2 linked regions of the Lonchura striata genome follow. The protein of the gene in region 1 purifies or fractionates together with the protein of each later gene. This does not show direct contact. Links are inferred from orthologs where the notes say so. Each region holds a gene or a part of one and is shown on either strand. Other genes may lie near its edges.

Region 1 (10,023 bases):
TATCTGCTGGAAAGGGCTCACCTGATTGCTGTCTCAAGCCGAAGGGAAGGGCTAAACAGTGTCTCCCTGTACCTTGCACTGTTTTCCACGCGGGAAATCTGCACCATCACAGGTGTTCGTGACTCATTGTGGGCGTGCCCACGAGTACCTTTATTCTTAGTACAATTTGTCCCACAGACTTGAAAACAATAAACAGATGCACCTATAGTTCATGCATTTTCTTCTCTTTCAGCTGGTTACAGCGTCCCTGTACTTTATCTACTCTGCTCTGGAGGAAGAGATCGAACGGAACAAGAACAATCCAGTTTATGCCCCTGTCTATTTTCCGGCGGAGCTGCACCGCAAAGCTGCCCTGGAGGAAGACTTGAAGTACTTCTATGGCAGGAACTGGAGGGAAGAGATCCCATGTCCTGAGGCGACTCAGAAATATGTTGAGAGGCTCCACTACATAGGCAAGAACGAGCCAGAGCTCCTGGTGGCCCATGCCTACACTCGCTATTTGGGAGACCTGTCTGGAGGGCAGGTGCTGAAGAAAATTGCCCAGAAGGCCCTCCAGCTGCCCAGCACTGGGGAGGGGCTGGCTTTCTTCACCTTTGATGGGGTCTCCAATGCCACCAAGTTCAAGCAGCTCTACCGCTCCCGCATGAATGCTCTCGAGATGGACCTTGCCACTAAGAAAAGAGTCATGGAGGAGGCCAAGAAAGCATTCCTGTTAAATATACGGGTGAGTAACAACCAGCCAGCCCTGCCAGCCCACATCCTCTCTCAAACAAGAAAATAGCTACAGGGGAAATACAAGGCCAGTATTTCCACCAGGGAGCTTATGAGAAGTTGTGGATCAGGGCGAGCTGGTCAGAGTTGGATGGCTGTGCTTCTCCAACCTGCCAGCTGAATAAAACAATAGCCTCTGAAAAGCTCTTCTCCCTCCCTTAGTTTTTGAATCCAGTCTCTTCCATGTGCCACTATCCAGATATGAATGAGGGTTAATACTGGGAGTGGGGATTACCACATAGTATCTGTCCTGCCTCTGTGGTGAAGTTACACAGGTCTGCTGTGCACTCTGACTAGGTGACAGGTACCTTGCTTTCCTTCCCATCAAAAGGTGGGAAGTAGTCTTCTCCTTAGTTGAAAGCTTTGGGGAGAACCTGTAAAGAGAACAAGGAGTTTGAAAGACATCCTCTTGACCTCACAGGCAACTTCTGTTCTAAGCAAAATGTGCCAGGAGACTTAGACTGAACCCCCATGTCTTCCTCTAGTTCCTAAGTGCCTGAGGAAGGGACAGGTGGTCCAGTGAAAGAACAAGAGGAGACCACATAATGAGACAGTGTTCTTTCTTCTAAGGTGTTTGAGGCACTGCAGGAGCTGGTGTCCAAGGGCCAGGAGAATGGTCACCCTGTGCAGCCAAAAGCAGAGCTGCTTCGCACGAGGAACATCAACAAATCACATGAGCATGGTAAGACACTTCTAAGGGCAGGTGCTTCACAGTGCTCCTTCCTTTCCTTCTCCTCCCCTCTTCTGTCCTTGTTTGTAAAAGCCATTGGGAAACAAGCATGAGGTGCTTGCCCCATCTCTTCTCCAGCCATCAGCAGGTAGTGCAAGGAGAGGCACTGCTGTGTGCAAAATTTCTTCTAGACATGGCAGAGCAAGGATAACACATGTGGGCTCTTCAGAAAGTGTGTCAGTGAGGAAGCTTTACAAAAAGAGACTCCTCTCTCCACCTCTAGAGCTTTAACAAATGTAAGGTTCATTCACCACAGGGAAAACTGACCTTGAGTTCATGGAAGCAAAGGCGTTAATTTTGGGTGCTGCAGATCAGCCATGGTGCTGTGATGCTGACAGAAGGGTCTCTGGACACAGTCCTATCCAGCAGCCTGTCCTTTTGGATCTCCCTCTGATCATTTTTCCTGCCTCCCAGAAGTATTTGCTGAAAACTCTCAGAGGATGTGCTGGGTTTAAAGTGAGCACTGCTCTGAATGGTGGAATGTAATCAGGCTTGTACCTGAGTGAGGAGCGAGGTCAGATGTTTACAGAGCAGAGTGGTTCCATGAGGACATGCAATTCAAATAAAAAACCCCTTATGGCCTACTCATTCTGAAACTAAAACGGTAATTTGTTTTCAGTGCATCCTGGATTGACCCACAGTTTTTCCATGGCAAAGATGAAAAGCAAACCTTGCCTTAAGAACCCCTGGATAGTGAAGCTTAAAGCAGCTTCTGTGGGAAAGGCATTAAAAGTTCTCTGTGAAACATTGCCATTCTTTTCCCAATACAAGCATACAAGTAAGATTTTCAGAAAAATTTGGTGTTGGATGAGGAATCCCATCCTGAAGTTGTACTACAAAAATTGCTTGGAGTGCTGAAGACTGTTCAAGGTCTTTAGATGCCTAAAGTTAAATCAGTGAGAAGTAGGAGACAAAATGCCTTTTAAAATTCTATCTTCAGCATTTATCTGTCTTCTGCACACATGAGGGGTTTAATGGAGCTGGGCAGTGCAGGTGTAAGCCTGTAAGGAGACAAGGGAGGAGACTGGTAATCACCTACATGCAGAGGAGCTGTGGGCCTTTGTGATTCCCAGGTCAAGTCTGCTGCTTCCCCTCTCCACTGGGAGAGCAGAACCTGCTGCCACTGCTTCCCCCAGCTGGGCTCTGGGCTTTCTCCTTCTTCCCTGGACAACTCCAGCAGGGTGTGCTGGGGCACTGGGGAGAGCAAACACTGCACGTTAGCATCTTCTTGCCACAACCTCTTCTCACTTGTCTTAATTTGCTTTTTATCCCTGTTTGATCTAGGTCCAGCAGCTGGGAAGGAGGGTGAGAGGACAAAGATGAGAAACACAGACACAACACCCACCACTTCCCTGGTGCGGTGGATTGTGGCACTCAGCTTCCTCGCCATGACGGTCGCCGTGGGCTTGTTTGCCATGTGAAAAAGCAGGACCTTCACCTTCTCTTTGTGACTTCCCTCACCCTGAACTAATCCACCTTCCCCAGTCCTTGGGAGAGAAATTACCCCTGACTGGGTACTGTGATCTTGGTTCTGCCACTAATACTAGGAGACTTTTCTCCCCAGAAATCAAAGAGTGCTGTAAGGGGTTCAGGCAAAGTTTCTCCTGTGCTTGGTGTGAGCTCTTCTCAGAAAGGTGATAATTTTATCACCAAAAACCAAGGGTGGAAAAGGCTAAAAACAATGGCCAAGAATTGTCATTGCTTTACAGAGTGCCTACAAAAGCCCTATGGGATCAGAAACACAGCTTTGACTTCTGTCTTCCTCAGAAAGATGGAGCTCCTTGGAGCTCTGTTTGCTCAGTTTTTTTATACTGCTAAATAATACTGTGATCATTTTCTCTGTGGAGCCACGTGGCTCCCATGGGTTACAGACAGCTTTACATGACACTAGTAGGTCTTTGTTACTTCTTTTTCCCATTATTTTTGGTCTTTGAAAAACAAAAGACAGTTGTTGGACATACAGTGTCATTCTTGTCTGGTTGTATAATTTATACACATAATAAATTTCAATGTGAAGTCTTCAGGCCTGGTGTTTCCTATTATTAAAGCCTTACCCAGGGGAGAAGGAGGTGTCTTTCTTCCTCCTGACTTTATGTCTTTTGGAGCTGCTGCTGCACAGACATGACAATAGACAGAAGTGGGAGCTATCACCAGAGCCAGACTGTTCCCACGCAGTGTTAACAATAACCTTCTATAAACTAGGGCAGGTTCCTTCAGCCTCTACATACTGCTCTCTGTTTCTAGAAGCAGCATGAAATTCAGTGAGTGTGCAAAGTATTTTTAAGGGTGGAAGTGGTACATAAGAGCTGATTGCTATTCTATCACAAGAAAAAGGTGATGGGACCCTCAGTTGGTCAAACCCAGGAAGCTCTCCCTGAACTGCCAGCAAAGGCTGCATTGCCAGGCTGCCTTTGCAAGATCTTCAGCATGAATCAGAATTGCCAAGTGTGTTTTCACCACCCAAAAGTTAAAGGCATCCTAGGTTTTGGTCGAGGTGGCTGAATGGGAGGCATCAAGCACACAACCACTGCCTTCACCCAAGTGGCAAACCAACCCCCACTCCCAGGACCTGGCACACATGTGGCATTGCTAAAGGCACTCCAAACACACAGCACTGCCGGAGCAGCCCATGCACACAGTTTGCTTTCCTTGCCTTTTGCTGAGGCACATCTGGAGGGCTGGGTTTGTGCCCAGCCGCAGGCCCTGCCTGCTCCAGGAGCTTTCCCAACACAGGAGGGGCTGCAGTTCAGATATGGCACTGCAGGTACTGACAAAATTGCTGTGCTATCACCTCAGAGTTCTCTCTTTATTCCAGAAAGCCTCTGTGATCACAGTTCTGGCTGTGACCTTAATCCCAAAGATATGTTCCTACTGATCTGTTTTAATGACCAGCACTGAACCTGCTCAAAGAACATGAATCAGAAGGCAGGTCCTGCTGAGAATGAGCAGTGGGAAAACAGGACTGTCATCATTCTCAGGATCTTTTCAACTCTGCATCCCTTCCCCGACCTCCTTTAATAGTTCTTTCTTTGGATCCGCCTGCCAGAAAAAATAGCTAATTCTTGAAAAAGATAGTTGGGTGTTCGAAAAGCAGGAATATGAGGATTGATAGCTATTTATAGACAAGAACTTGCTAATTCAGATTTGAATTAAGTTCTATTGAGTCCCTCTAAAACACCCCAACTAAACCATTTTGTTATTCAAACATGCTCATTAATCTAAGATCCCAAAGAGATAATGCCCATGAGCTCAGAAACGCACTGCACCACACTCAGCCCCTCTCCACTCCTCAGAGAGCCCGACTGTGACCTCAAAGTTGGAGAATATGGGTTCTGATTGGTATCATACCCTCCCTGCTCATGGCAGGAGAGAGATGGCACTTTGGGTATCTCACAGCCATTGTTGTCACACATAGTACATTCCAGATTGAGCCTCAAGTCCGCAGAAATGGAGACTAAGGCTTTGTTTGTACTCATCTGTGATCTTTATGAGTTCATCTGGTTTCTCTGCAGCAAGGACACCCTCCTTATTTCCCACGGGCTGCACGAAACCTCCCTTGCCATGCACTGTGCTTCTCAGCTTACTTAGGGCGTGCATTGCCATGCTTTGGGAGGGCCAAAATGCACACCAGCGACCTGCCAGCCTTCCCCCTAAATTCACAAATAGCCAGGAGGAAGGCATTGTTATGTCTAGTAGGTATAATTCGCGCCATTTCTAGTATAATATATGTGATATTGAATGTTTGTTGGAGTATACACGTTTGTATTAGGACTCCCCCCCAAACCTGGTATATGTTGAAACCTGATTTACACACATTAAAGGACGTGGCTCGGCCAGGAGATGGGCCATGTCTGGAGAGATATGGGGGACCCCAGGCGCTGATCGTCGCCTGAACGACCCGAGATGGATATCACGGAAATCCTCGGGCAGATACATGTGAATGCAGCGTTCCGTAAATTCCATCAAGGGATTCACCAACTCCTGACACTGAATTGTTTCCCCTCATCACCAAAAAAAGAAAGTCTTATTAACCTATGGACTTTGAATGGAAGAAAAGACTGACTGCCCAAATGTTGGCGTCAGGCGGAATTTTCCCTATAAAAACCACTTGTGCCAGGATGGAGGTGTGTGGGCATGGAGGAAAACCTCTGCTGAGGCTGACTCCTTGTGGCACACCCAGGGCCGACCCCAGGGTCGGCTCTGTGCTTTCCTTGTGGCTGGGTAGATAGAATTTGATTGCAAAATAAATATTTTATTTTTCATATTAATTTGGCTGGACAAATTTTCATTTATAACAGCATCGTGTCCTGAGGCCCTGAAGCAGTGAGGGGGCCCAGCCTCCAGCACTAATTAATTCACTTCATTCCCGCGATGGTATCACCCGCTCCCCCTCCGCGCCCCGCCGCAATGGTGCGGCCCGCCCGCCATTTCGCCTCCCCCCGCCCTTCGCTCCCAGATTTCGCGCCACACCGCTGGGGGCGGGCGGGGGCGGAGCGCTCCGGCCAATCAGCGGCGGCAGCGGCGCCGCGCGCTCCCTCTGGGGGCGGGGCGGGAGGGCGGCTGCGGCCCAATCGGCGGCGGCGCCTGGCAGGCGGGCCAATCAGAGCGCGCGGCGGCGGAGGCAGCGCGCGCCCTGCGGCGGTTTGGTTTCCGCCGCGCGCCGCTTTTGCCGCGAAAAAGTTGGGAGCGAGTTCCGGCGGGGATAGAGGTGCGGAGCGGCGGGGGTCGGGACCGGGACCGGGACCGGGACCGGGACCGGGACAGGGATCGGGGTCGGGGTATCCCTGGGGCAGTGCGGGGGAAGAGCGCGGCCCGTGCGTGGGGTGCGGCGAGGGGCGGTCCCGCGGGGCCTTGGGTGCGCGGCGGGGGAAGGAGGCGGCTGGCGCTGACCCAGCGCTCTCGGCCCGCAGCGGAGCAGCAGCCGCGATGTCCGGCTTCGACGACCCCGGCATTTACTACAGCGACAGTTTTGGGGGAGACGCGCCCGTGGATGAGGGGCAGGTTCGGAAGTCGCAGCTGCAGAAGCGGTTCAAGGAGTTCCTGCGGCAGTACCGGGTGGGCACGGACCGGACGGGCTTCACTTTCAAATACAGGTGCTGCTGTGGCCCCTTTTCTCCTTCTGAGCCTTGCCCATCCCCACCTGCATCTCCAGTCTGCTGTTAACCTCCCTCCTGCAGTGTACACCTCACATACGTAACAGCCATTTAGTCTCTTCTCGTGGGCCATAAAAAGTTCAGCATTAAGAGATGTTTGTATTTAACCTGATAGAAAAGCAGAAGTCTGGTGTTCACACAGATTTTTAGGCAGCCAGCCAGTGGAAAAGGTAGTAATAGAGGGATCCACACTGCCAGGTTTGCACTTAATTCTGAGATTCAAGGTCTGTCTTTGGAGTTGTAGTGCTTTCTGGTCTGGAGAATTGTCTGTGTCCATTAAATCAGTGCACTGCTCTCCACGTGTGCCTTCCAAGAGTATGAAGTTCCTTTAGCCATTCTTTGCCTATGCAGCTTGGAGACCCAGCATTGAGAAAACATGGAGATGCATCATAATCAAGGGCTATAACAGTCTTTCACTTCTGAATTTCATTTATCCTGGCATTTTAAAGAAAAATGTTGTCCTGTCATTATATCCTTTGTTTTAAACCACATCTTATGTATAGTAGTTATTATCCTACATAGAAATTTCCTCCTTGTTTATCTGGTCATGTAACTCCAGCAAATACTTTACATTGCCACTGAAGCACTGGTGTCCCTGGTCTTATGTCACTTTTCCAGGTGGGCTTGGGTGAAAGATTGCCCAGGTTCCCCTGCACTTCTGGAACTCCCCTAATTTTCCCTGCTTGCTTTCCAAATGAAGGACTCCCTGCAGAAGCTGCCTTTTCTGATCCCTGCTTGTGCTAAGGCCACTGTGGATGACTGGTGCTTTCTGCCCTGCAAACCTTTGCTGCTTCCTGCCTTCCAGGGATGAGCTCAAGCGGCACTACAACCTGGGGCAGTACTGGGTGGAGGTGGAGATGGAAGACTTGGCCAGCTTTGATGAAGATCTCGCAGACTATCTGTACAAGCAACCATCAGAGCACCTGCAGCTGGTAAGGATGGATGTTGGAAACCTAGAATATTGGCACAAGAGCATCTCTGATGTTCTGCTGTAACAGACCCACTGATAGCCCATTGTTCATTCTCTAGTTGGAAGAAGCAGCAAAAGAAGTTGCCGATGAGGTCACTCGTCCTCGCCCCTCTGGAGAGGAGACTCTCCAGGACATCCAGGTGATGCTGAGGTCAGATGCCAACGCAGCCAACATCCGCAGCCTGAAGGTGAGGTGAAGTGTGTGGGTTTGATTGCAGGGGAGCTTTCAGGACCTGGTCACATGGCTCAGGACATGGGTCACTTGCTAATGTACAAGCAGCGTTACTCTGCAGCTCAGATCTGACTGCAGAGGGCTGTTATTGCTGGTTCCTGCTGTAGGGACATTGTTCTGTTAGTGGTGCTTTGCACAGAGTATTTTGTCCTTTGCTCTCATGCTTTGTAGTTTCCCATCCATCTTCCAGTGATGCTTTCTCACCTTCCCTTCGCCTGTCCCTTTTCAGTCTGACCAGATGTCCCACCTTGTGAAGATCCCTGGGATTGTAATTGCAGCAACCCCCGTGAGAGCCAAAGCCACCAGAATCACCATCCAGTGCCGCAGCTGCCGCAACACCATCAGCAACATCGCGGTGCGCCCGGGCCTGGAGGGCTACGCTCTGCCCAGGAAATGCAACACGTAAGGACTGACAAGGGCATGCACCAGCTGGCTGGAGGGCGAGAAAAGACTGCATTCCCCTCTTCCTGCTCCTGCTGCATCCCATGCATTGCAGAATCTGCTCCCTTTCCACAAGGCAGCAGCACCTGCGCTGCTCTGCCTCCACCCTTTGTGCTGCCCCTGTGCCACTGTGCAGTTTTGGCTGGCAAGTTCTGGCTGTCCCTCTGTGGTCATGCTGGTTGTGACCCTGCACGGTCAGTGCTGCGTGCAGTGCTGAGTGACCATGTCCAGGGAGTCCTTTTTATTCATAGGGAGTTTCTCTTGTACCTAAAGGTTCATGCCTGCCTCCAGCTGTCTCATAATGCTGTGTTAAGTTGTTCTCCTCTTTTCCAAACAAACTCCTTGCTTCTACATTCCCACTCCTGAAAAGCATGTTTTGTGTTACCTTACTTAGGGGTGCTTTTCTGCTAGTCTTTTTATCCTGCTTTACAGTTCCTGGTGCCTCTGAGCACTGTGTGCATTAGACTGCCATTGTGCTGCAGCTCTCAAGGCAGCCAGTCCTGGTGGGTTGTGTCTTTGGGCTCATACCTGCCAGTATTTATTTTCTGCACCTGAACTCTAATGCAGCTTGAGAGGGGTTTGGGCTAGGGAGTCATTCTTGTGTGTGGTCTGTGCAGCACCTTGCTCCTGATCCCTGACTGTATGAGTGCATCTGCTCTCTGGTGTTGTCCTGCCTGAAAGCCCTGCATGGAGTCAGGCATCAGTCGTGCCACTCTGAGACAGCAGCAGGATATGGAGCTTCTCTTTGTCTCAGAGAGCTTGTAATCTAGCTAGGCAGATGTGGCTTGAGAGACTGGGAGGTGGATGTCAGCCTTGTCACATTGCTAATTGCTTTCTCACCAGAAACCACTTAACATTTGCCTCATGCATGAGGTTGTAAAGAAAAACGCCCTGCTGTGTCAGTGAGTGTGTGCTGCTACCTTCTGTGTAATTAATGAATTACCTTCCCTGCTTGTAGCTAGCAGGGGAGGGGTGGGAGGCAGGGAGAGTGTTCAGACAAGTGTCACCCTGCCTCTGGCTTGTTCTTATGTGCACGTTTGGCACTTGCAGAAGACAAGACAGAGGCCTTGCTGGCCTTTGGTCTGGCCCCATGTGTCTGCCCTTACCTGCTAATGTGGCACTGCTTGGAAGGGGCAGCTGCCCCTTGCTGTCACTGCTGTCCCCTGCACAGGTGCCTCCAAGGGCTGGCTCCAAGGGCTGGCTCCTCAGTGCTAACAGCCTCCCCTGATCCATCTCTCTGCACAGAGAACAAGCTGGCCGCCCAAAGTGCCCTCTGGACCCGTATTTTATCATGCCAGATAAGTGCAAGTGCGTGGATTTCCAGGTCCTGAAACTGCAGGAGTCTCCAGATGCCGTGCCACACGGGGAGATGCCCCGGCACTTGCAGCTCTACTGTGACAGGTACTGGCACAGCCTTCCCACCCTGCCCCCACTGGCTGTTGCCATCATTTCCCACCACCATCCTCTGCTTTCCCCTGTCTCCTCTTAGGTACCTGTGTGACAAAGTTGTCCCAGGGAACAGAGTCACTATCATGGGGATCTACTCCATCAAGAAATCTGCGCAGAGCAAGAACAAAAGCCGCTACAGTGTGGGCGTGGGCATCCGGAGCGCTTACATCCGCGTGGTGGGCATCCAGGTGGACACAGAGGGCTCAGGTGAGGGCTGCTTTTGGGGTGCATTTGGTCTGTGCTGGTAGCCTGGTGTTGGGAGACACTCCCCACACTG
Region 2 (9,944 bases), on another chromosome or scaffold:
CGCTGCCGCCGCCGCTGCCGCCCCCGTCGCGGCGCGGGGCGCGCGGTCACGGGACAGCGCGCGCGGCCGCGCCGCTCCGCCTGATTGGCCCGGCGGCGCGCGAGCCCCGCGCGGGGCCATAATTGGGCTGGAGCGCGGCGGGCGCCCCCACCGAGCGGCGGGAGCGGCCTCGGCCCCGTGTCCGTCCGCGTGTCCGTCCCCGTGTCCGTCCGCGTGTCCGTCCCCGTGTCCGTCCGCGTGTCCGTCCGCGTGTCCGTCCGCGTGTCCGTCCCCGTGTCCGTCCCCCGCAGAGCGCCCGACCCGGCGGGTCCGCGGGAGGAGTCGCCGGTGCTCGTCCCGCCTCTGCTCGGTGCCTGCTCAGGGTTACAGTCAGCAGCAGCTTAGCAGTACGGCCACAGACCTGTTTGTGATCACAGAGCACCCTTTGGTCACAACTTGAGACAAAGAAATCGTTAATTAACGCTTTCTCGTAATGTACCTTTCAAATACAGGCTCTCTCAAGGAAAGCGTGTTTTACAATTACTCTGCGATTGGAGACCTACTGTTTAAATGTAATTCATCACACCTTTCATATTTTGTGTAACGCAGAAACTGTTAAAAGGTAAGACTGCAAAATCTATTTCCATAAAATAGTTTGGGTTGGCTTTTTTTAACTTTAGTACCAGATATAGTCTTGACTGGGAATCTTGAACTAAGATTGGTATTTTCACGTCCTGAACTTGAGTTGTGTCTGGGCTGTATGCACTAGAAAACCAGCCTGGATACACTGCCAGCAGTGTCCCTTCAACTACGGGAGGAACCCATTCCCACCTATTTACAATGTAAATGAAGCAATTTTAGTTGAAGCTGTTGAATGCTGAATGCATTAAGAAGTGAGATTTCTGGACAAAAATAACAGTTCAATTATATAAACCTACAACACATCCTCTTCAGAAAACGTCCTTTTAATTATCCCAGCGTCCTTGCCATTAGCAAAACCACTCATTAAATAAGCACACCACCAATTTGGATGACAGAGACTCAATGGAGCAACTTTTGCTTTACCACCTCAGGGTATGGTGTTTTTCAGATAAGCTGTCCTGCAGCATATCTCTATTACTTTGATGAAAAACAGAAATCAGTAAAAACCCAGGTTCTCCAGTGCAGGTGAAAAACAAACTGCAAAGACAGAAATGCAAACAAAGCCCCAGTCCTATGCTGTCCTCCCTTCCTCTAACCCTTATTACTAACCTCATCTGTGTTTTGCAACTTCCACGAGTGCTGCTATTATTTGCTGGATTCTGTGTCTGTCATTCTAGCTTGCTCAGTGAATCCTAGTGGATCAGGAAATGCCTCTCACAAAGACTGATGTTTTTAGGTGTTTAGAATAATTGAAGAGTCAGGCATCGAGTAGTTCAAGGTGATGGATGTTTAAGGCACTTTGAGGAGTTTTTGCCTTTTTTGTTTTCTCTTGGTAGGCTCAAGATTAAAGTTCTTAAACCTTGCTTGATACCTGTTGCTGGAAGAGAGTGCTGTGTTTACTAACTCTGACTGGAAGAGTGGTCCAAATTAATCCTTAACACCAGAGGGATGCAAGATTTCTGATACACTAGAAAGGGATGTACTGTAGGACCACAGAGGTTGTTTTTTTCTAAATGTTATTTTTTATAATACTACTATCATTAGAAGGTTAGGTTTACATTCTAACTATGAGGTTTATACTATTAAAAACAATAATTTTAAGGACACCTTTCAGAGGGGAAAGAGTCAATCTTTGACAAGGAGGAGAGCATATCCCCATGTAAAAAAAAGCTCTATTCCTACAGATAAGTGAAAAGAGCAGCTGGTTTAGTGTGTTCCTTAGGTAGCCAGAGATATGCTGAGGAAAGCAAAAATATAGTAACTGTGTTCCTGTTTACAAATGAGTTTTGAATAATATTTGCCTTTGAAAGATCTCAAAATATATACATGTAGGCTGGGAAAAATTATCTACAAACATAGATGATTCATCAGGATATAAAATCACATAAATTTTCTTATATTTTATATAGTGCCAGTGAACTTGGTGTTAGTAATAATTGAAGTATTTGGCTGTGAACATGTTGTGTAAAGGATTAAACTTGTTTGATCTTCATAAGGTTTCAGTGGACCAAAAAAATCCAAAAAAGGTTTAAATCTCAATGCATATTTGCTCACAGACGGTTTTGAAATCCAGCTACTCTGTTCTTACTCTGTCCCAGTTCCAAAATAGTACTGTCTGTATTTATTAAACTGCTCAGGAAGAACATGATCTGCACCAAAGCATGCAGCCCCGGGCGCAGCTCGGGCAGGCTGGGGGAGGATTGCTGCGTGGGGAGGGCTGTGTCTGCAGCAGCCCTTACCCAACCCCCCTGGCCCTGCCAGCCCTGGGACAGCGTTAGCTGGGACACAGGGCCTGGAGCCTGCTTCCTCTTGGCAGAAAATCTACAAAAACACCCTCAGACTCCCTCAGGAGAGCCCACAGGACTGTGGCAGCACAGATGACAGTCCCATCCCATCTTTGATTTATGTTCCTCAGGCCCCCCTTACCAGCAGTGACACAAATGGTTTGTGTTCAGGTTATGCACATCCTGCAGAACACAAAGCAGCCCCCATTTAAAATTGTCCAAAAAGCTTATCTTCCAATGTGTATTTTTTAACTCATTGCTTTCCAGTGACAAAAAAATTGTCACTTTGTACATTATTTCTTCTTGACATCAGAAACAAAAATGCGACTGGAAGAGATTTTATTTTGTGCTATTTTTTTCTTGCTCATGTTGTTTGAGAAGTTTGTGCAGAGTTGAAACACAGCTGCTACAGTTAAATATTTCCTCTCTTTGTTTTAAGAATTTCTGCCCTTTAACAGACACGTGATTGTCAGTGAACTGTCCCTGGCACGTGAAGCTAAGCACAGACCTGGGCAGAATGAAGGATTAGGAGTTTAGCCCAGGTTTGTAGCATTTTGCTAATGTCAGCTCATTCTACAGCTCTTTACAGCATGGGTGGGTGGTGGGGGGGAATTAATACAAATAAAAAATTACTTTTGGAAGAAGTAGCACAAGGATGTAGTCAAGAGCCTGCCTTCTTTGAGTGAAACAGTGCCAGAAAGTTCTGCTGGCACAATAGATGGGGTCAATCAAGGCCAGGCAAAGAGTCTGGATATTTCTTCCAGCAGCAGTGCCAGCTGGTGACAGCTTAAGCTGCCCGTGAAATTGGACCTGAATCTTACATAAAGTGGGACCTTGGAGGTCTGTTCCTTAGGTGTGATTCCTGATCTGCAAAGCTTGAGTGCTCTTAAATCCGTTTCAAATGCATACAGGAATCTCTGTGAACTCGCTGTTCACTTGCATGTGTGGGAAAGGGGTGGGAACTCAGTAGGGCTGGTAAACCACTAAGTAACAGCCCTGTCCGTATTCTGTGGAAGCTGTGTGATGGAGTTAATGTTCAGGAGGCAAAAGTACATATTCAGGGATTTGACAGGCAGCCAAAAAGAACCTGGGGCAGCATACAGAATTCGGTGGAAAAGCAGGGAAGAGACACAAGTAGAAGGCAGTTTTCTCATTGTTTCATCACAGCACAATTTCTGTTAGCACTCACAACACATAAGTCTCTTTTATGTGTGAAATGGCACATTTCAGAATTATGACTTTAAAGCGTTCCTCGAGACCTCATGCCTAGCTCAGGTCTGCTTAATAACAGAAGAAATGAAATATTGTAATTGTTCTGCTTAACATAAACTGGAAGTCAGGCTGAAGAAAGGAGGGAAAGTTACTGCAAATTGATCTTCACAGTGAATCTGAGCATGTGACATTTACTTAAAATAGTTGCATGCATTAAATTCTTGCAGCAGGGAATTTGCCTCAACCTTACTGTCACATGTCTCTGGGCAGCTTGGTAAATATCTCCTTTTGTAGCCTGTGAGTATGTGCAAGTGCATCTTTCTAGAAATGTGGAATGTGAGTTTAATAACGCTGAGAATAAAGAACAGAAGACTTTGTGCACCTTCAAGTGACAGTCACTCTTAACATTTGAGTACATGTAGTTAGTAAATTATTAAAAGCAGAACTGTTCAGCAAACTCCTGCAAACCAATCAACACAAAGCAGACTGACAGATCTTTAGATCAGTTGGTCAATCAAATACATGTATTAACACAAAAACATGAGCTTCACATTATTTTCTTTAAGACAACCCTCAAAAAGCCATAATGTGAACTACCAGCTTGCATAAGCAGAGTGATTAGTGAAGAGTCAATATGGGTTTTGCCATCGTGCATTTATCACCCTTTTCAGAAACAGTTTATGCATTTTACCTGATGGGAAGTTCTCAAGTTGACATCACTTGTTGCAAAAGCTTTTGAGGAGATTAGGGACTTAGCAGGTGTACAATAAAGCCACATGATAATAAATAATCTCTAGAAGTTTACATATTACACTGTGTTATGAAATATCATTAAGCAATCGTGGACTTTGAACCTAGGTTGCATAGCCAGCCTTGGTATTTTACTACTATTAAAAGCTGAGACAATAAAAAACTAGCTTGTTCACAACACTTGACTGTAAGGGAGAGTTCCCAAGGCTTTGCATGTGGATAGAATCAATCCTATTTAGTTATCAGGTATACAATAGACAGGGATGCTGAAATGTGTATATATCATCTGGGGAAAAAAGTTAGTAATTCCCAAATGAAATGTGGAAGTGGTGTGAGGTCAGTTATTGCAGAACAGCTGAACAATTTGTTTACATCCACACTAGGTCATGTTCATAAACATCTGATCGTTCCTCCTCGCTTCTAGACTATATTGAGTTTGCCCAAGTCTCTGTTGGACACCATCAGTGGCTTTGACTGAGCTAAGTAAATTGCTTTTCAGGTTTTGTATGTGGCACAATTTTTAATGGCCTGGAGTAAGACTTAATTCCACTGCAGCAGCATATTGCTACAGATAGTCGTATAGCTTTGATTTCCCATGTCATCAGTTTCTGACTATTTTTTCCACTTAAAATTCATATAGTGACTTAAAATTCCAATTTGGAGTAATTTCTGCTTTTTGTTGTTGAAGCTTACCTCTGTGATCTTAGATTATTCCATGTATGAATCAATGTAAGATTATTCTCAATTCCTTCTTCCACCTGCCAGTTTGGTGCCATCTGCCAATATCGTAAACACAACTACCCTTCCCTCTTTCGAGCCCTTCCTAAAATACTGAACTGACTTGAATCCGGTTAACCCCCATCTTGTAGCAATAAATATATATCTGCTTTATTTCTGATATCTAGCGATCCGCCTGTTGGCACTGAGCCAGTTACCCTGACCAGATGAAACACACGTCAGGCAATTTGGCAAACAGAGCTGAGCACCCAAATTCCCGTGGGGCCCAGCCTCAGCGGCTGTGGGAAGGAAGTCTCCAGGAACCGCCCCCATATTTGGCGCTTCCATTTGCCCCGCCCTCACCGGAAGTTCCCTCACGGCGGGCCGGGCTCAGCGCGCGCCCCGCCTCTCTCCGCACGGCCATTGGCTGGGCGCGCCGTCCATCAGACGGTGGGCGTGGCCTGGCCCCCGGCCCGCGGGACGGCGGCCGCGCCTGCGCGCTGCCGGTTCTGGCGGCCCCGTGTGGCGGAAGCGGCGGGGCCGCGCCAGTTCCGCCTCGGCGTCGTTGGCGCTGCACAAAATGGCGAAGATCGCCAAGACCCACGAAGGTAAAAATAGCCCGGAAAGCCCCGTGTCCGCGCCCGCTCGCGCCGCGCTTGGACATCGCCCGCTGCTTGTGTTTCTCCCCGGCTCCGGGCAGCGTCAGGCGCGGCTCCTCGGGCGGAGGAGCACACATACAGGGCATGTGTGTAATGGCGGCTGCGCTCGTCAGCGCCGGGCCGGGCGGGGGGCGGGCATGAGGGGGAGCTCTCGCTGTGCTGGCGTGGGCCGGAGCGGCGGCCAGGCCTGTGCGGGGGAGCTCGGTCGCTGAACTCCCCATGGCCGCCTCCTTCCGCCCATCGAGGCTCGGCCGGTGCGCTGTGCAAGGCCCGCGGTGCCGCTGCGAGTTTCGCGTCAGAAATGCCAACAGCGCGCGTTCGGTCCCCGCCGAGCCCCTCGGCCTCGGCAAACAGCGCCGGGGGCGGCCGCAGAACGGGCGCTGCCCGCTGGAAGCGGCGCGGCCCGAGCCGCCGCCGTGCTTGCTGAGAGGAGTGCCCCGAAGGACGGGAAGGATCGTGAGGGCTGGAGCGTTCGAGCTGCCATTTTGCACAGACTTCTGCCGGCCGGGTGTTGACGTAGGACAGCGGCTCCCTGAGCGATCCAGCGGCTCAGGGCAGTCCCGGCGCTGTGTGCTTCTCCTTCTCTTGCGTGCGCTGCTGCCTCGGCTCTTCTCGGAGGGAATCAAAGCTCTCTTTGTGGGCATCGGCTGCGGCTTGCACCCGAGAATAATGTGTAGAATTACACTGCTTCTCTGTTTTTGCTTCGGGGTTTTTCTCTCGTGTTTCTCTGTACGATAGGTGTTCTGCTGTGTTTTGTTTTAATTTATATGCATAATTCACTAATTGGAAACTGCCTCTGGATGGTGGTTGTGCACTGAGGTAGGCAGGGCGCTTAGGCGTTCATTGTCTTTTAGTATTTTTTTAATTTTTTTTTCAGCTTTTACTGAAAAAAGCTTTTCAAGTGGAAAGCCATCATCTCCCGTGGAAGTGAGATTAATGTAGTGTTTAACACTACAGACCTAATCTGATTTTAAGGACGAAGAAAAGCTTAAACTGTTGTCCTTACTTTCAATTATTTTTTAGAATTCTAGAGTATTTTTATATAATTACAGAAATTGTCTTGTCCTTTGTTTATATAATGTGACATGCATAAGGGTTGTGTGTGATAGCACCCAAGTGAGCCTTACCCATCACAGTGCTCTGCCTCTCCTACTACCTGAAGAGATTCTTGTCATAAAATAGTACAGTTGTTGAGGTCTGGTTGTTTCCAAGCTAAAATTGCTTATTTTTTGGAGCAAATGGTGATGCATTGGCTTCAGTGAAAACATTGACATGCTTTCAGTTGCATGTGTTTTGATTAGTGTTGTATCAGAACAGGTTTTAAGGGGGAGGGTAGTTAAATAAAAAATAGACATAACAGGGTATGATCACTTAAGGGTCTTTCCCAGCATGGAGGCATTAGCTGAGCAGCTTGATTATTTTGCTTCCAGGTGGTAGCCTATTTTTTTCAGTTCCTCACTAATCTTTTGAATTGAGTTGTTTGTTACTAAATCATCCTAAAGTTTTTTTAATATATTTGTGCTGTTTATTAAATATTTCTTAATTGATGTGTTCAAGATACAGCTTGAAAGAAGCATCAAAAGAGCTGGAGTTCATGTCAGCTACATAGTTAAAGGGGGACTCTGTGTTTGAGGCCGAAAAGTGAAGTTTCAGGTGGCAGCTTATAATGCCTCAATAAGTGCATGAGCTTTCAATGCTGTTGAAGGTCGTATTTATTTTAATTTTTTTTCCTTGCTGAGAAGAGAACAGAGATCTTCAAACATAATAGATCTAACATGCGTAAGAGTGCTAAAGTAGTTAAAAATAAAGCCATGTAAGGGCAAGCTAAATGTGCAAAAATATGATAAGACATGAAAACATAGAACCTATTTACTCTAAAATACCTGTCCAGCACAGGGTCTTCTTTCTTTTTTTTTTTAACATTTAGAATAGAACTACATGCGTGGTATCAGAGCACATACTTAGAGGAAGCCTCTCTGTGAGCTAGATGTTCAGTGACTTTGAATAAAGTGTTATAATATTCAGCTGTAATAATATTCAGCATTTATGGTATGTTTCAAATCACCTGCTTGTTGAAGTTACTTCTGCTAAAATACCAAAATACATAGAGTAAAATACAGAAAAGGAGCAATCAGTAGAATATTATTCCCCTCCTCTCTTTTTTCCACCCTTATATCCCACTCCCTTTACTGTTTCTCTGTGAGTGAAGTTTCCATTATGTCCTGCTCGACTAAGCCATCAAACAAGTAGTTTGCTTTGCACAGTGTCTTTAAGCTTTGTGATCACTCTTTCTTAATTTGCTTTTTATTAAAGAGCTTTGTTAAGTATGGTGTGAGCTTTTTCAAGGAAGTGCCAGTTAGCTCAAGGAAGCTAACTGGCACATTTTGAATGTCAAAATAGCATTTTCCACCTAAATATGTGATGCTTTTCAAACACAGGCTACCTGTGGCCACAGGCTCCTGGTTCAAGGGCTCTTGTGGGTAGAGTGCTTCATTTAAACTGGCACCTGGAGGCTGTGTGGTATTAATAAAAAATTAGGGTGGCTATCAGTAAGGTTTGTTGAGCCTATATAGACTTCGTTTTTTTGTTATAGATAACCCAGTAGGTTTTTGCTGTAGGAAAATGAGAATGCTCCTTGCCCCGGCAGCAGCTGTAATCCCTGTAATTTAAAAGAGAAGGCCAGTAATGAGTGACACATCCACCCTCTTCATGAAATATAGCTGTTTTAAAAATAATGTTGGCGGACAAGGCATTGTTAAGTGCTAGTAAGAGCTATCAATAGGAAAACATTTTTGTATTGACACTTGCACTGCAGGAATCCCCCCACTGTTTCACTTAACTCTGTTGGTGATAGTAGAGGTGGGAGGCCAAGCAGGAGCAAATGTCTGGCCAGTCCTGCAGTGGGGGGACCTGTTGGTGTGTTATGTGCTGGAGCTGTATGGTGAGGTTGGTTCAGTGAACAGGTGATGGAAAGGCTTGATGATCCTATAGACAAGATCCATAGGCTTTTTTAATGTTGAAGTTGGTTACAGCTGTGGATGTTCAGTCAGGCCTCAGTGTGCCACTGAAGAGGCAGGGTGTTTGTTGTTCCACTGAGTGCCCTTTGGAAATCAGGGGAACGGTGGGGTTGTACCCTCACATCACCCACTCTGTGCGGGTGGTGTTGTCCTTGGTAGAGATGGAAGCTCCAGGTATTCCCTTCCATCCCAGTACTGCAATGCACCAGGCTGCAGAAGGAATCAGGAGCTTCATCTGCTCTCTAGGAGAAACAGAAATAACTAAAAAATATGTGGAGAAGGTAATGGAGTTTCATTGACTCTATAGCCATAACATTGGATGATTCCACAGAAGTGGAATACATTAGGAGGATGCTGTAAGCACCTCTGAAGGCAAGCAGAGGCCTCTGAGGGCAAGAGAAAGATCTGTAATTTGGAAGTAGTTTCTTTCTGCTGCTTCTCCAGGAACTAACACATTGTAGAACAATGTATTCCAAGTTCTGGACTCACAGGAATACCCTGGGCTGTGCAGGATTTTACAGGGAGCAGGATGTAGCCACAGGCCAGATTCAGGGGGTACTCATGGCCAGCAGTATAAGGCTTTTGTGAGGTTTCAGCTTCTCATGAGCTTAAGCATCATGAGTCTCTAACACAGAGGTGAGTGAAGTTACTCTGCTCTAGAAAGCTGCAGAAGTTCTGTGGAAGCCCTGAAATGACTGGAGCAAGATTCTCCTTATAAGCCTTTAGGGTATGTCTTCTGTGTGTGTGACTCTTAATGAGTTTTGAATCACATTTCTGCTGGGTTTCCTCATTAGACCAGTGCAGGAATTGCTGATTTGCTGCTAAGGTCTACTATGGTGCTTCACATGAAGTCAGTGCTTCTTTCTGATGAAGTGAACACTAAGTTCTGCTGTTCTCACTCATGGCTATACGGCAAAGACTTGTCAGGAAAAACTTTGTTGAGTTCCCTCTCTAGAGAACATGCCTTTGTACAGGAGGCATAATTTGGCTTACGGTGGATTTATGGTTGTTTGTGGGTTTTTTTTTTTTTTTTTTTTTTTTTTTTTTTTTTTTTTTTTTTTGTGGTTAGTGGCTGTCTGTGATAAGGAAAGGACCCAGCTGTGACATTAAGGCTTGAAGTTTGTAGTGTTGACATTTTAAACTTTTAAACTAAGCAATTCTGATCCAATAATTTGCATGGTAAT

Evidence for each region. The genes of interacting proteins can lie anywhere in the genome.
Region 2: the proteins of MCM5 (region 1) and SF3B1 purify together in Homo sapiens (affinity purification with mass spectrometry; 4 studies listed by BioGRID and IntAct, with this or other methods). This does not show direct contact. The link is inferred for Lonchura striata from reciprocal best matches to the Homo sapiens genes MCM5 and SF3B1.

Annotation. Positions count from the first base shown.
Region 1 is NC_134607.1:22,471,472-22,481,494, forward strand, and holds the start of MCM5 (DNA replication licensing factor MCM5), read left to right. Parts: upstream 1-6,120; 5' UTR 6,121-6,209; intron 6,210-6,411; 5' UTR 6,412-6,427; coding exon 6,428-6,594; intron 6,595-7,459; coding exon 7,460-7,586; intron 7,587-7,683; coding exon 7,684-7,812; intron 7,813-8,085; coding exon 8,086-8,258; intron 8,259-9,542; coding exon 9,543-9,698; intron 9,699-9,786; coding exon 9,787-9,953; intron 9,954-10,023. Other genes in the region: HMOX1 (heme oxygenase 1), read left to right, coding at 233-724, 1,342-1,453, 2,786-2,922. UniProt on the Homo sapiens protein: Acts as a component of the MCM2-7 complex (MCM complex) which is the replicative helicase essential for 'once per cell cycle' DNA replication initiation and elongation in eukaryotic cells.
Region 2 is NC_134610.1:28,285,958-28,295,901, forward strand, and holds the start of SF3B1 (splicing factor 3B subunit 1), read left to right. Parts: upstream 1-5,567; 5' UTR 5,568-5,664; coding exon 5,665-5,692; intron 5,693-9,944. UniProt on the Homo sapiens protein: Component of the 17S U2 SnRNP complex of the spliceosome, a large ribonucleoprotein complex that removes introns from transcribed pre-mRNAs.